Ovis aries: one gene and its partner. The protein of the gene in region 2 purifies or fractionates together with the protein of the main gene of each other region. This does not show direct contact. Links are inferred from orthologs where the notes say so. Each region holds a gene or a part of one and is shown on either strand. Other genes may lie near its edges.

Region 1 (3,500 bases), on a different chromosome or scaffold from region 2:
AAAACACAAATGCTTTTTTTTTCCCATACAACTTTGTGTCTGCACCACTGATCATAGTTTGGAGTTGTCTGCTACAGAAGTTGACTCAGCTTAGAAGAAATGTGAAAAGCCAGACTTTACAGCTTTCTTGTAAAAGAGCATCTTTTACAGTACCTAATGAACGAGGTTTTGATGAGTGAGTTGCTGAGATGGGGAGCCTGGGAGAACATATTTCTTGAGAAGTATCTGCTTTAGAAGGAAGGTGAGTGATGCGCTGATCCAAGACTGTATCTACATCTTCTTCATCAGCAAGCAATGATGCTTTCATGATCTAAAAAAGCAATATCTATAGAATGAATGTGCTCCCCCAAATCCAAAGGCCATAAAAGAAAAACACAGCTTACAACAACCAATTAAAAAGCTCTGCCTCAGGTCATGTCCAGAGCTAGTACAACATTTGTGTGTCTAACTCTGTTATACTGTATGTGCCTGAAGGACAGAAGTTACATAAAACTTCTGTGCTTTGTATATAGTATCACCAGAGGCTGGCACACAGCAGCAGCTTACATATTTGCTGAATGAATTAATTTTAAAGTCAAATATAAGCCAAAGGCTAAATTCATATAATGACAAAAGGCATAAGCAAGGAGAAATTGAGACAGTTTAAAGAAACCTGTAACTATAATTAAAAAACAAAACAAAACAAAACACTTCTGTGGAGCACTTTCCAGAGCCTCAAAACCTCTTTGTAAATGAAGTTAGTATTTTATAGAGAAAAATCAGTGCTCACAGATGTTAAACGACTTGCCCAAAGTCACACTGTAATAGTTACAAAACTGGGCCTAGACTCTAGGTCTTCTGAATCTCAATATAGCCTTCCTTCCACCAATGGCAAAATGATGCCTGACATGGGCCATATTCCTGTTTTTTTCTCATTCCAGTGACTGTTCAATGCCCTTAAAGGACTAATGAAAGAAAAGGCCTGGTATTAAGAGAGGAAGATGAATACTAGTTTGGATTCTTATAATAAGGGTGGGTTAGGACTTCACCTGTAACACATGTGGATTAATTCCCAGTGAAGATGCAATGTGTGTTGAGGCGGACACGGGTTCCTGATCCTCAGGCACGCTCTCTTCTAACATGGAATCCAAAACTGGCTCCTGGGTGATATCTACCATGTCACTGTCCAGTTCCACAACCCTCCCTAACTGCTCCACCTCTGGGCTCTGGCTCTGTAGACAGCAGAAAGATCAGGGAAGCAGCATTAAATGACACCAGATAGACATAGAGCTTCTAGACCATATTTACTTTATTCAAAATATGATATAACATTAGATTCTGCCCATTCTATCATCATGTGAAGTAATATATTTGCTAGAGTATTGAAGAACAATTTCCCCAAAATTCCTCTATTATTACTTGGGATCCAAATGAAGATTCATGGAATTACCCTTTTATAATATTATGGTCTGGAGCCTGGACCTAAGCCAGCACCCATACTGAAAAAACAGTCAACTTCAGACTATGATTATGCCTTACTTGATTTAGTTAGCAACCATAATTTTCTGATTTATACAGAGTTACCATGACCTCACAGTGCCTTGCAGCCAGAAGCCATGGGGAGAGAGAATAAAAGACACAAATACCAAAGTTTCTAGTACCTTTGCATTTTCTTAAAAGCATTTAGAAATAAATTTCTAGTTATCACAAACACAATTTGGGGCCTGGAATTTATTTTTTGGGAGACTGAATCCTAAGGTTAGCTCCACCTATGCAGTATCACATGGATATTGTATCAGATGTAGAACGTGTTTCCCAGAAGAAAAAAAAACAAAGTACTACTAGGAGCAATTTTAATCTGGGAATAATTCTTTCAGGTTTAAATATGTTTAAATGTATCAAGAGTTAGATTTACAATTATTAGGGAGTTTTAAAGATACAGTAATGATTAATAGTCTATTAACAGTTTGAAAAGGTAAACATTCAGAGAGCTGAAACATACTGTAAAATTGGCTCAGTGCAAATTCACATTAAATATGTCCTAAACTCCCACATGATCTGATAAAATGTTAACAAATGGCTATGCTAATTTATGACACATTCTCAAAGCTAAAAGTTGTTCTACCTTTTTTTCTTTCATAATATATCATCTGTAGATTACTAACCTTCCACAATTTCTGGTTTGTCTTTCATGAATGGCCTGTTTCACAGTAGACTTCAAATGGATCCAATTATACAATAGGTGGTTAAAAAAAGTTTCATGATTTCTTTGAACCAAGAAATGACCATTAGTGTAACTTTTTAAACTTTATTTTCAATAGTATATTACCTCTTACTCCCGTGAATTCCTTTAACAAATATCCTTACTAAGAGAATGACTACTGCCATCTATAGCTGTAGAAATGTTGAGGTGTTGGATATGTAGTGAATTGTTACTTATGTTGTGAACATTCCCTAAAGACTGCTCTAACAAAACTGAAGGCTAAATGGTTAAAAGACAAAAGTTTTATATATATATATATATATATTTAAACCTATTGGGGAGGCTACAGGCAAGCTACTTTGATGCTTTAAAATTCCAAAAAAAAAAAAAATTTAAAAGCCCTGGTGGTGATCCTACCATTATAATTAGAGGAATTAGAAGAACATTCCAATGCCCCCCCAGTATGTTCATTTTTAACCAATTCACTTTTAAGAAAAGTTATAACACTCCCCATCCTCTGTCAAAACATCAGGATACTCTTTTCTGTTGGGCTCCCATAATACCTTGTCTATACCTATCTTATACAATGTATATTATAATTTCAGGTATATATTATTTTTGTCCCACCAGATTGTAAATGCTTGAAAGCAGATATAGCCTGCTGCTGCTAAGTCACTTCAGTTGTGTGTGACTCTGTGTGACTCCATAGATGGCAGCCCACCAGGCTCCCCCGTCCCTGGGATTCTCCAGGCAAGAACACTGACTGGGTTGCCATTTCCTTCTCCAATGCATAAAAGTGAAAGTGAAGTCACTCAGTCGTGTCTGACCCTCAGCGACTCCATGGACTGCAGCCTTCTAGGCTCCTCCGTCCATGGGATGTTCCAAGCAAGAGTACTGGAGTGGGGTGCCATTGCCTTCTCCGCAGACATAGTCTACTATTTTCTGTATCTAATACTAACCACATTGTTAAATTCACAACATTTAGTTATTTAATGCAGTGCCTGCCACACAGGAGAAAAGGCTAGTAACTATGAAAGGATAAGGAGCAAGTATAGATGAGAGGAAAGGGAGGAGGAGGAGAGTTTCAATTTACTGTACTATTCAACAAAGGACTAACAAAAAGAGGTGCTCATTTAGAACACTTTTAGAAGCAAACTGGTAGGATTTAATCAAAGTCTGGAGACTGAGGGACTCAAGACTATCTTTAAGAATGCTATGCAATCAAGGTTTTATTTGCTTCCTCCTCATGTACTGACTTCAAAATTAGTATCATCTAATAAGTGGATGGGGAAGTGAATTACTATTAAACTATGAGGAC
Region 2 (4,300 bases):
TTCCTTTGGAATATAATGCAGCAGTTGTAGAACTCAAACTAGAGAGATATCATTGCCTATTCTGATGTCCACTTTAGAAACTAAAGTATAAATAAAGCAAAACCATTGAATAGAAACATTATCTGCTGAAAAAGAGTGAAATATGTGATACACAGATTGCTGAAAATATTTGTGCGTAAATATTTTAAGATGACTTTAATAAAATAGAGGCCTATATGTGATACCCAAAGATAAATCACCAGCATGAAATCCAAGGTCTGAATTCCACTTCCATCACTTACCCCTCACATGGAACTGATTTCTCTTTAATTTTAAGAATCTAGGACCTTTTTTTTAAGCCTAAGTTTTTGTTGATGTCTCTTGCTACCACCCAACTCCCATCACCCAGTGTTAACAAAATTTCCTTGTGTGTACTGGCATTCCCTTTTCAAATACAACAAATGATCTACCCTCAAATATATTCCTCTTTTCAACTTTTGACCTAGATTAGTAAACTTCAGAGGACTCTATTATAATAAAATAGTACAATAAAACAGTCCTTCTCTAGAAAGGGATAATAGTATATGCTTCTTCATCCTCCTCAGGTGATCTTGGATCTTCCTTAAAGGTGGTAAATAAAGTAATTAATAAAAAATTTCCCTCCAAAACCACACAGTATTCTTTTCTTAAATGTGCCTCCTCTCTTCAACTTTTTGAAGCCTCCTCTCTGTCCTTTTACTCCAAGCCCATGAATACCTGCCTCCTTCCTTATATCCTACTCCCCGTCCAAGGCCCCACAAAGGAAACAGATTTCAACCAAACTGAAAACCTAGAACAGTTTGTGGAGTTAGTAGTGGAGACACTACTAGTGAACTGCAGATTGCTTTTTTTTATACTAATGAACAATGCAAATCAGTAGTTAGAGGGAAAAGATCTCTGCAAACTGGAGTTAGAGATCACAGGAGGGATTTTCAAAATGTTATAATTTCATTTATCATCTTCCATAAAAATTTCTCATCGAGTGAGTGAAAGTCGCTCAGTCATGTCCGACTCTCTGCGACCCTGTAGACTATACAGTCCATGGAATTCTCCAGGCCAGAATACTGGAGTGGGTAGCCTTTCCCTCCTCCAGGGGATCTTCCCAACCCAGGGATCGAACCCACGTCTCCCACATTGCAGGCGGATTCTTTACCAGCTGAGCTATCAAGGAAGCCCAACAGTATCTTCACCTCAGGGGGTAATTGTGATGATTAAACAGATTACACATGCAAAGCCAAGAAAATAGTGTCTGGCATATAAAAAGACTAAAAAAAAAAAAAAAAAAGTTAGTTTAAAAGAAATCTGAAGAACGTGGTACCCTTGCTTTCATCCAGAAACAGAAATCTTTACATTTTACTGTAAAACAGTATGTATAAACTAACCCTATTCACTCAATATTTCAATTTAGAAACTTTGAATGGAATACTTGGAATATCCATTTAGATGAGATCAAATCAACCATGGGCAAAAGTTTTATACTAAGACAGAATTTTATCGAAAATACTTAGAAGTCATTATACTGATAAAAATAACTGTCATGAAACTTAAAAAATAGTGCAAATTCAGCTGTAATCTATATGCAGCTGTTCCTTTCAAAATTAAGTCACCATTTGTTCTCTTTTTCTGACACTACAGTACTCTGCTTTCACTAAAACCCTGTAACAAGGAACAGCTTCTTCGATATCAAAACCTTTTGGAAACCTGGCTCAGAGCAAGCCACTCACTGTTCACAGCGCTCGAAAGGATGTGTGTGGTCACTCTAGGACAACTGTCACTGTCAGCAAGCACGCCTAGGAGTCTCACAGGGACTCGGGTCATACAGAAATGTAGGTGTCGGCTAGTATCCGAAACAAAGTCAGCGGCTAGCGCTCCTGAAAGGGGAGAGCTTTTTCAGCTGAGACTCATAAAGGATGAGGGTCTAACCCCGAGGAAGCGGTCTCGCAGGGCAGATCAGTTTCGGGGGTGCCCGCTGGCTCCGTCAGCAAAGGGACGCAGGTGTTGCCCTCCCTCGGCGACCGCACCGCTTTCTTCCCGGCGCCGCCGCCCCCTCCCCCCAGCTCCCCATTTACCTTTCTCGTCCTCATCGATGCGCAGGGCGACGGAGATGTACTCGAAGGCCTGTTTGTGGAACGCTCGGACGCGCTCGGCCTCCCCGCCTGGCACCGGTGCCGGGGGCGACGCCGAGGCCGGCGCGGCCCCGGAGCTCCTCTTGGCGGCCATGAGGGCGCGGGAGAAGCGCTGGCAGAGCCACACGAAGAGGAGCCCCAGGTGGAAGGCGACCAGGCGCAGCAGCGCGAAGCCTACGAACAGCGGGTAGGAGAAGTAGTACAGGTTCCGCTTATGCGGCGATTGGGGCGGAGGGGCCGGCTTGGGGGCGGGACGGGAGCGGGCCAGGCAGGGGGGCGGAGGCCTGGGAGGCACCGGGCTGCTGGGGCCGCCGGAGCCTTTCTTCTTCCCTCGTCCACCCGGAGAATTCATTCACAGCTCCCACTGCCGCCGCCGCCATAACCCGCCTCCCGCAGACCGACGGCGGCCAAGCGACGGCGGCGGCCACTGGGACGGCAAGGGCCACAGACCTCCGCGCGCCCCCGGTCCCTGGAGCTGTGCACCTCCGCGCGCTGCTCGCCGGCCCCGCCCCTTTCTCCTCGCCCGTGCAGGAGCACAACCCCTTCTCCTCCTGCGGTCGGGGGCTCCTGCCCCTCCCTCTCTCTGTCCTCTTGGCCGCTCGGTAGCTCAGAGCGGCGGCCTGGAGCGCAAGCGCAGCCCTCCCGACTCTTTCTCCGGCGCGTGCGCGCACGTCGCCGTCTTTGTTGCCCTGAGCTCCTTGTGCGCGTGTGCGCGGCTCGCCATTCCGTCCCTTCGCTCGCGGAACTACGTTTTCCAGTATGCAGTTCGGCCTACTTGGCCCTTAGGGACCCGTAGCTCAATCGATTTCGCTGACCCTAGTAGCCCGTTATCAGGGCACCTAGACCGTCAATTCAAGAAAGGGACCGCTGCAGCTTGGGGTCCCTCGGCTAGTTTGCAGGACTTGCGGTGTCATCGTTTTCTTATATTTCTTCCAGCATTTTCTGCCAGTCTTCCACAAGGAATGGTTGATCTCAGTTTCACCGCAAAAGTAATGGGTCCAATCTAATAAATATTATCTAAGAAGATAGAGGTTGTAGGACGCTCAAAAACGTCAGGTCACTGAAAACGAAAATGTTAGTTCATTGGGATGAACTAATCGATTCGAGAGGTTTAATTAAATCGGTACTTATTTATGACCAACATAGCATATTGGGCTTCGCTGGTGGCTCAGACGGTAAAAAACGTCTGCCTACAATGCGGGAGACCCGAGTTCGATCCCTGGGTCGGGAAGGTCCCCTGGAGACGAAAATGGCAACCCATTCCAGTACTCTTGCCTGGAAAATCCTATGGACGGAGGAGCCTAGTAGGCTACAGTCCATGGGGTCGCAAAGAGTCGGACACAACTGAGCGATTTCACTTTCACTTTCAGACAGCATGTTAAAAACAGAGACATTACTTTGCCAACAAAGGTCCCTCTAGTCAGAGCTATGGTTTTCCAGTAATCATGTATGGATATGAGAGTTGGACTTATAAAGAAGGCTGAACGCCGAAGAATTGATGCTTTTGAGCTGTGGTATTGAAGACTCTTGAGAGTCTTTTGGACAGTAAGGAGAGCCAACCAGTTCATCCTAAAGGAAATCAGTCCTGAATGTTAATTGGAATGACTGATGCTGAAGCTGAAACTCCAATACTTTGGCCACCTGATGCAAAAACTAACTCATTTGAAAAGACCCTGGTGCTGGGAAAGATGGAAGGCGGGAGGAGAAGGGAACGACAGAGGATGAGATGGTTGGATGGCATCACAGACTCAATGGACATGATTCTGAGTGAGCTCCAGGAGTTGGTGATGGACAGGGAGGCCCGGCTGCAGTCCATGGGGTGTCAAAAAATCAGACACGACTGAGCGACTGAACTGAATTTAACTAGATGTCTAATCTGAAGAATTAATTTCAATAAGGGAATTTTTAGGTTTTGCATGGTAGTCATTCCATACTTCCTCAGGAATCCAGACTGGACTTTTTTTTTTTTTTTCTGTTTTTCAAAATCTGCTCGACGTCCTTTCCTTTGGAGAACTACCTCTGCCGCCAGTATTATCCTGAGCTGCAAGCACAGAACCTCGCCTCCCAGGTCGCAGAGGGAAAACACTAGGGAAGCCCCAGGTTACCCATACTGTCCTAGAAACTGGAATCTTGCATGAAGACACACTGAGATAGGA

Evidence for each region. The genes of interacting proteins can lie anywhere in the genome.
Region 1: the proteins of SPAST (region 2) and NUP98 purify together in Homo sapiens (affinity purification with mass spectrometry; 3 studies listed by BioGRID and IntAct, counting the BioPlex papers as one, with this or other methods). This does not show direct contact. The link is inferred for Ovis aries from reciprocal best matches to the Homo sapiens genes SPAST and NUP98.

Annotation. Positions count from the first base shown.
Region 1 is NC_056068.1:50,094,621-50,098,120, reverse strand, and holds part of NUP98 (nuclear pore complex protein Nup98-Nup96), read right to left. Parts: intron 1,212-3,500; coding exon 1,029-1,211; intron 311-1,028; coding exon 154-310; intron 1-153. UniProt on the Homo sapiens protein: Plays a role in the nuclear pore complex (NPC) assembly and/or maintenance. NUP98 and NUP96 are involved in the bidirectional transport across the NPC. May anchor NUP153 and TPR to the NPC.
Region 2 is NC_056056.1:91,794,448-91,798,747, forward strand, and holds the start of SPAST (spastin), read right to left. Parts: upstream 2,801-4,300; 5' UTR 2,497-2,800; coding exon 2,088-2,496; exon of another isoform or gene 1-2,087. UniProt on the Homo sapiens protein: ATP-dependent microtubule severing protein that specifically recognizes and cuts microtubules that are polyglutamylated.